Linked DNA regions of Danio rerio. The protein of the gene in region 2 interacts with the protein of the main gene of each other region in a pairwise test. Links are inferred from orthologs where the notes say so. Each region holds a gene or a part of one and is shown on either strand. Other genes may lie near its edges. The genes, in order: vamp5 and stx16.

What was found.
Region 1: the proteins of stx16 (region 2) and vamp5 interact in binary tests that used the Homo sapiens proteins (3 or more experiments, as listed by UniProt). The two-hybrid records come from large-scale screens. The link is inferred for Danio rerio from reciprocal best matches to the Homo sapiens genes STX16 and VAMP5.

What each region holds. Positions count from the first base shown.
Region 1 is NC_133180.1:28,904,049-28,908,459, forward strand, and holds the start of vamp5 (vesicle-associated membrane protein 5), read left to right. Parts: upstream 1-1,323; 5' UTR 1,324-1,504; coding exon 1,505-1,507; intron 1,508-4,411. UniProt on the Homo sapiens protein: May participate in trafficking events that are associated with myogenesis, such as myoblast fusion and/or GLUT4 trafficking.
Region 2 is NC_133181.1:52,356,217-52,360,768, reverse strand, and holds the start of stx16 (syntaxin-16), read right to left. Parts: upstream 3,114-4,552; 5' UTR 2,782-3,113; coding exon 2,650-2,781; intron 2,539-2,649; exon of another isoform or gene 2,372-2,538; intron 1-2,371. UniProt on the Homo sapiens protein: SNARE involved in vesicular transport from the late endosomes to the trans-Golgi network.

The DNA.
Region 1 (4,411 bases), on a different chromosome or scaffold from region 2:
TGTGCCATGCATTGCAATAAATTAATAAGTTGTATATAAAATTAGCATTTCAAAACCCCTTAAATTTTGGCAACCTGCCAATGCCACTTTTTACCAAGCAGCATCTTCCCACTCTCCCTCAGGAAGCCAATATTTGGAAGTAACTAAAACTGCAATTCATCGACTCACCTTGGGGGGCTGGCTCCAGGAAGTACAGGTGATTTCTGACTGCAATGGTAAATTGGCCATTTTTTTCCCCCCCTTTATTTTCATGCCAAGAACAAATTTCATTAAGTTGGCCATTTTTACAGTTGATAAAATAAAAACATGTTTACACCCTGGTACAAAAGATGGCTTTGGTGCATATAGCTATGATTACCCTTCATGAGAGGGGTGAATTTTTTCGCAGACTATATTTGAAGTGTTTGAAATATTGAAATGTTGAAAAAGGCTTAGTGGCTCAATGTGTTACAATTGTATTTTTAAAAGTCTAAGTATTGATCTAGTATACAACCAAGCAAAAGGGTTAGCGTTAACCGTTAGGGTTAGGGTTAGGTTAGGTGTAGTAACGAGCAAACAAAGAAAACTAAGCACAAGGCAGAAGATATCATAGGTAAGATTGAGTTTTTTTTTTTAGTTTTTTAAAAAATTTTTATGATCTTTTTGTGCTAAAGTAATCTTACTGCAATCACCATAAGGCAAAGTAGCACCAACTCCCACTAAACACTAGGCTTCAGCTAGTTCTGTTGAATAAAATAAGCAAACAATGAATAAGAAATATGACAATGAGATGCTGCGCTGCCAGAAACTTATAGTCGGCTAGTGAACCAGTCGTTCATAACGGAGATTCATTCACAAACGAATCGCTCCCTCCGTCAGTATGAGAAGTGAAAGCAGGAGAGAAGGTGTGTTTCAGGCAGGGTGGATAGTACATTTCTGTACACACAAACAAGCTTTTTGTCAGGAACGCCAGTGCAATCACTGATCCATCAATGTACAAAAGTGATGTAAAATTATAATTTTCGTAATTAGAAAGAAAAATTACAAACTAACATCCAGGAAAACTCCCGATCATAGATATATGTGCATATGTGTATATCTTTGGCTTTGGATGGCCACAGTCCTCCACTGTACCTTGGGCAAGCATTCATTTCAAAGGAGCGCTACTCTGTTTCAATATGGCAGCTCTATTGACGCATTCCTTCTAATAGACAACAATAGGGTTTGGCGACATCTATATATCTATGCCCTGAGACCACGCTCAGACCTGCACTTCCAGACCTATCGTTTTCTCAGACAGTGCCACCTGCTGTTGGATTTGGTAAAAAGACATGTTGGTGCGATATGGGAGGCGCCTCGTGACAGCGCCAGCGCAGAAGAATAAAACTCTGGAGGAGCATTTTTTTGCGCATGAAGTTTGAAGATATCGAGCTTGTACTGTTTTCTCTTATCAGCTGCTAGTGCTCTTTCCGATGCAGTATATTCGGTGACAGTTTCTGGCGCATTTAACCCACAGATTGATACAATGGTAAGTTGTTTTGTTTTGAAACTTTAAAGTTTGTTTCGTTTTGCTGGTGATATTTTGAGGTTAGCTTTACAAATCAAGACCATTGAGGGCAAACGTTTTAGAAACAAAATGTGTAGCTCAAACCTGTATATGAGGGAAGTTTTCTGGATCTATAACACAAAAACGGTTAGATAAGAAGCTAATAAAAAGTGACGGCAAACGCCGCATAAAGTTGGTTTGACGTTGTTTATTGTTGTTACAAACAAGTGCAGTTCTGCCATGCTTAACGATCATTATGAAAGTGAAATCTATTTAGATTTTTGTTTCGACAGGCTATAGTAGGTTAGCTTTCAATTCGCTTTGTTAGAGATATGTGATAGTAAGTTGCTAGTATCGTTCTTATTGTTTGTGTCTGAATTTGAAACTGCCTTGTTCTTTTCAAAGTCATTTAAAAGTCATTCAAAAGGTCTTTAGCCTTTATTGTTGGTTTATTTCAGGTGTTTGTTGAAACACAAGAGAGGGGATTTTTTGCCTTGTCTCAAGGAAATTCCATATTCATTATAGCAGTCAAAACTAGAGAGGAAGGAAGGGAAGGAAGGAGGCAAAGAAAGGATGTAAAAAGAGATTTGTATCCTGCAGTTCTGGTTCAATGAAAATGGTGATGAAAAACTCAAACTCTACATATGTCTGAAAATGTAATTTTTTTGTTGTATTAAACACAAATACCTCTAAATTACATTTTAAAATGAAATAGAAACGTTGTCAGTAGTTTACAAAATAAGCCAAATAAAATAGATTTTGCTTAAAAAATATATATAATTCAGTTTTCCATATAATGTATTTCATGTTCATGTTACAAAATCCTCATTCTTTTAACTCTATTCATTCATTGTACACATCTAAAGAAAAATGGGTCACACTTTGCAATAAGTTTTCATTAATTAATATTAGTTGATGTGTTTATTAATATAAACTGACAATGAACAAAACATGTGCATCATTTATTATTCATAGTTCAAAATTTACTAAAACTTTATCAAGTAAATCTAAATTCATGCTTTTTAGCATTAGGTAATGCACCATAAGTTAACATAAGCTAACAAAGAACTGTATTTTCATTAACTAACGTTAACTAACGTGAACAACTACTGCAATGTACTGTTCATTGTTTGTTCATAATAGTAAATACATTAACTAACATTAACTAATTCAAACTTGTTGTAAAGGGTTACATAAATATAATAAAAATTAACATGTGGCTGTATAACCCATCATTATATTCACTTAAAATATATCACTCAAAAGAAGAAAGAAGACAACATCAACAACAAACAATCTTAGACTTAATCTTGTACCCAATTATACGGCTAGTTGCAATTTAATGTGCTATTTAAATTGTCATTTCCTTTTAGCATGTTTTTTAGTTTCCCCCTATTGTCCTATTAGACCAGATCTATCCAAGTGGTGCTCGCTGCAGAGCCATTTGAGGAGAGCTGAGCTCCAGCGAGGGGGAGCTTAAGCTTAAGCTCCACCTTTTTTGCACTTCTTCTATGAGTGATGTCACTGGGGGTAGGGTTAGGGGTGGGGTTGGTGTACGCATTAAAACGGCTTACAGGAGGAGGAGGAGGGACAGCTCATGCTCCCCCTCGCTGGAGCTCAGCTCTCCTCAAATGGCTCTGCAGCGAGCTATGAGCCATTTCAGGCTGTGACACACCAGTTGTGAACCACTGTTCCATTGTCTGTGGCTATTATGTGAGATGGTATGAATAATAAGTGGCGTTTCCTGTAAAATGAATAATTTCACTGATCTTTGTCTGACAGTTTCCCGTCAACCAAACCTTGACCTAAAGTCACTTACATCCTTCTGAGCACAAAGAGAGGAATTAACAGTCCGACTCAGCTGATATACAGATGACATGTCTACTGCTGTAGAGCATACTAATGTCAGGGAGGTCACAGTCCTATTTCATGGCGCTCAGCCATGCTGTTTTCACAAAGGCATCATTGTGGGTTTCGATGCAATAGCCTTTAGAGATTTCTCTGTCTCTCTCTGTTCCTTGTTAAACTGTAAGCGACATGGCACTCTTCCAGAATTCCATTCCTTATGCTTGTTGTAAACACAATTTTTAAGGCTGTTATAATGGGAGGCGTCCAGGAAGATTTCATCACTACTTTTTGTTTATAATGCTTTATTGGTTGCATTTCTCACACATTAAATATGTTGTACTGTGGTTCTTCTTTACCTTTTTGACCCCCAATCGACCAGATATTTTACAGCAATATATACAGTAAAAACTTCAAAACATTTCCAGTTTTTCCTGATTTACTGGATTAAGTTTGAAGATATATATACATATTTTTCTCACTATTTCCACCTGACAAAATATGATGGAGCTTGGTGTAATATTCCGTAGCTCTTTTATTTTTTTATTAATAGTTTGATTTTTATTTGGTCATTTTTTTGTCTATTACAGTATCAGTGTCTTTTAAATAAATATAATTTTATTTTATTTATTTAGTTTAGGCTAAAACAAAAATAACTGAGAAATACCTTCTCTGCAGTTATCCAACTAAAGTAAATATACTTTCTACAAAAAACACACTTTACATATACACACACACTTAAGCCGCTTTTCCACTATCGTGCTGAATCGTTCTTTAAACAGAACTGTTCCATTCCGTGCCAAACCGGGCCAGACAGCACGGATACGGTTTCATTTTCCACTGTCGTGCTGCGACAAAGCTCTTTAAAACATTACACAAAACGCATCAGTAGTTGCCTTGGTAACGCAATGTAAACGGCTCCCTTTGTTCAACTAAAGTTAAATAAGAGCCGAAACTATTTATTTATTTTTTTTCATAAAATCAAAAGCAACCATGTGACTAAACACTGTTATGCCGCTCTATGAAATAGGGGTGCTAAAT
Region 2 (4,552 bases):
CTACAGTATAGAGATATTTAAAAAAAAAAAAAAAAATATCCATATAGCAGACCGCCCACCAGCATCAGAGAGAAAGAAAAATGTGATGCATAGCTTATCTGTAGGAAAGATCTGTAAAGAATAGGGAGACAAAACACTGCTTTCTTCTGGAGTCTCTTTTTAAGAAGTAGACTCTAGTATATAGTGCATCAAAGCCATCATCGCTTCTTTCCATGTCAACTTCTGGCATTAAATTTAGCAATAAGAAATGCACCGCTACTATAGTGTTAAAAAAAAAAAGGGAATTATTTTACTAAAAAACACCTAAGTCAAGTAAAAATGTAGGAATAAAATTAATACATTTTACTTTCTATGACATTCGGCAACATTTGTTATAACAAACGTAAACAAATCTAAATTTTACAGTGACTGTATATTCGATGAAAGTAGGGCTGCACAATATATCGTTTCAGCATCGATGTGGCAATGTGTGCATCCGCAATAGTCACATCTCAGGATCTTCAATGTTGAGTTGAAATAATAGTTGATTATAATTAATGCAGTGTTGAATTATAATGGACTCTTTAAAGAGATAGTTCACCCAAAAATGTACCTTTAATCACTATTTTCAAAAGTTTATGTGTTTCTTTTTTATGTTGAACACGAAAAGAAAATATTTTAATAACTAGGGTTATTATTAGGTGATATTATTAATTAATCTTACGATACTATACCAGCTGAAGTGTCACGATACCAAGTAGCATTGCGATACTGTAATTAATAACTCAAAATAAATAGAAATTGTCAGAAATACTATATATTATGTTATAATAGGCCTACTTGAATGTAATTCATAATTCCCTTAAGGCCAAAAAGTATTATTTGCACCTCAAGTTTGTTCATTCTTTTTGTGTATTTTGTAGATAACTGGCCAACAAAAACACATTAAAATAAAGATACAAATTATACCAAATTAAATCTGTTACAAAAGAGCATTTTTCCAACAAAATTAGGCTATATGACGTGGTCAAAAATAGTTTCAATGTTTCCTGTTGCTATTTTGGGTTTTTCATCTTTGTTTTTAGTCCTCTCAGGAAACAACTCAAAGTATTTCAAAATTTCATTTTGTGAGTCGTTCTTTTAAAGAGATTGTCGTGGTAGCTAATCATATTAATAGGAACAGAAATGAACCGATTTAAATGTTTATTCAAACTGAAGCGTTAGGAAACGTGCAACAGGCTACCATAAAAGGCACATTTTCGACACAGTTTGGCAATCTTAAAGGGCTCTACAGACTATTAAAATAAATGGTTTATTGTTGCACAAACGTGCAAGCGTTTTATTGACTTTTTCACATGCAACGTTGTCTATTGTAGATAAACCATAAATGACGATACTACCGTTTACAAACTACAGTGGCACAGACAGTATTTTGGAGACATAGTATAGCGATAATACCATAGTAAACCGTGCAACTCAATAAATAACTCTTACACGTTTGAAACAAGTAAAGGGTAAGTAATGAGTACTTTTTCATTTTTGGGTGAACTATGCCTTTAAAGCCTCTGACTGTGTAAACTTTTTAACATTTCAGAGTTTAAAACATCCAGCCACAAGAAAAGTTAGTGTTTGTAAATTTATTAACGATTACATTATATAGAATAAAGACTATGCAATGTTGACTGTTCAATTATCTGTACCTGAATACTGTTAAGACTCTCCAGAAAACTAGAATTCACTTATATATTTGCTGTATTTTGATTACCTAAGCTTGTAAGTTATTTGTTACACATTATTCGAGATCCAATCACCCCAATTAAACTAAAATGAGGAATTCTTTCCAAATAAAACTGTATTCACGTAACAAAATACAAAATATCGCAATGTTAGATTTTCCCAATATCGTGCTACTGTGATTGAAAGCATGTGAAAAGTTCATGTGTATGCTTTAGATCACAAAGAAAAACTATTTTAACTCACGATGACTCACTGCTGTTGAAAAGTTAAGGAACTTATGAAAATGTATTTATTCTTGCGTTGAGCAAGGATGGATTAAACTAAAGCAATTCTAACCATGGAATAAATCAATTTTTCAAAATGCTATCAACATTAAACAGTAGCTTAAACTGAATTTGAGTACACCATTCAGTTCTGTATTTTCTAACAATGGTCATTAATGATTAATATTTTAATTCAATTTTAAAAAGTAAACATACATCATCATACAATAATATGTACTAGATAAATCAGTTAAAGAGCGTCTCCACATTCTTATTTAGCTCCAGACAAACATACATGCGCCTTCATACACGAACATATAAGCTGTATACTTAAGGAGTGGGCGTCATATTTTAAAAGACGAACCAATGATCTAAACTAGCACGACCATCACCTTTTAGTCAAGTCAAAGGCATTCTCGTGTGCTGAGGTAAATCAAAATGCGTTGGTTTGACGGTCAGCTAGCAGGTTCACACACACCTTCCAGCTCCTCTCACAGCAAACAAAACAAGTTGAGGTTTGTTGGACAACTGACAGCGCCGGTTGACATCAACAAACATCACTAGCTAGGGTTGTTTTCTAAGAACAACTAGCTAGAGTTGTTTTCTCTGAATCACACGTACAACCACACACGCCAAAACAATCAATTCAGACAATGAACGTTAGACTCACCGCAGCATTGCTACGTGTATTCAGAGTACGACGGGGGTCGTATGTACTCACTTGCTCAGCCAAAATCTGCCGGTTTTGGATTGCATTGTTCCGCATTAATAAGAAGGCATCGGTCAGTCGCCGAGTTGCCATGGCTATGCAATAAAAGGGGAGCGAAAAGTGAAATAACTGCGGGCTGCCTCGATGGCTGTCTCTAGATTAGTTACTCAGCTCGTCGCCAAGGCAGCTGCGGCTACTGAACTAGCGGGCTAGCCTGCAAACCGAGCAGCAGGCTCGCCCACTGACCCAGCGCCTCCGAGCTCGAGAGAGTTCGGCTCTTTTTTAGACCAACGCAGTCCCGAGTCTGTATCCCGTGAAGTACCAAAACATTACAAGGCCGAAACCCCGAGTTTTCCGCTCGGTTTGGGGAGCAAATGGATCATGTCTGTGACTTCCGTGACGTGGAATACGTAACGTGACCTCACGCCGAAACTTCCGCTTTGGACAATGAATATGCAAAAATCGAATTCAGTATTAAAATACTTAACCTTTTCATATTTGCAGCTTAATGAACCTTTTAGTTTTATTAGACGACAGCAGTTTTGTAATATTTAAGAATTAATTACATTCGAATTTTATTTTATTATTTAAAAAAGCAACAACATGCAAAAAAAAAGCCATCAGCCTTTAATTTTGTCATAGGATAATGTATTAGATTAGATAGTATGTTAGATTAACAACACAGACTGATTTTATAGCACCAGGTTAAACTTTCTGACTCCTTTATGGTAATCAAATACATTAAAAATAAATACAGGCCACAACTGAACATTGAGGATGATCTTCAACATTAAACCATTAGACTTGTGCTGGTGTCAACCAGGCTCATTGAGGTGAGATTAATGTTAAATTAAACAAATGAATCAATGATTATTAAATTATAGCCTATGATTGTTAAGACTGTTGCACTTTTTATGTTGGCAATATGCTCATGTTACTATAGGCCTGTTTTTGTGTGTGCAACATTTGTATATTTATAACCACCTCTGAGAAATATTGGGGTCGCGAGTCACAGGCATTGTTATTTTGGGGCTCGGGGGCTGAAAAGTTTGGTAACACCAATTAAAACATCCTTAGCATGTAGTAAAAATTTAATTCACAAGTGTTTTTTAAAAAAAAGACTTAAAAAGTCATACATTTGACATAGTGACTGACACCTGCAGAAACCATGGTTGTGATGTTCCATTCCACTGGATTTTTATAAATATCTGTTTTAAAATACATGACTCTCTTCTTTTTTGTACTATTATGGTTACATCAAAATGAGTAGACTAAAAAGTAATAATTATTAAGCCAAAAAATGTAAAACCCAATTATGTATACACTATTTTTTATAAAAGAACATGTGCAAATAAAAATACAAATTTATGTCTTCGCAGACTTTTCGTCTTTGCATGAACTTTGAAATTTACAAAACAGTAAGTGCATTTCTCAAAACAGCACATACAAATGGCAAAACAGCATGGATTACCCGCAAAAGCCAGTCTCTTGCTTAAAATCTTTAGTTCATCTCTCAATATGTCAGTGCCGTCAGAATGACAAGTCCTTGTGTACAGATAAGACAAATGACTTACTCGTGTTGTCAATATAACTGTACTCTGTAGGGATGTTCTGATATGGCTAATTTAGTTAATTTTATTGCGATTTGTACTGTGATTTGTTGCCAAATCATGTCATTGTGATACAGAAAGGAAAAGACAGCACTGCATAGAACAAAGAAAAAAAATTAAAGTAGAAATGTGAACATAGGACACAATCTCTTTTCAGATGCACCTCACCTTTATTAGAAAAAGTCCAGATTGACCTGGGAGTAATTTACCAATTTTAGATTTAGAAAAAAAGTCTAATGGAAATGTATAGAAAA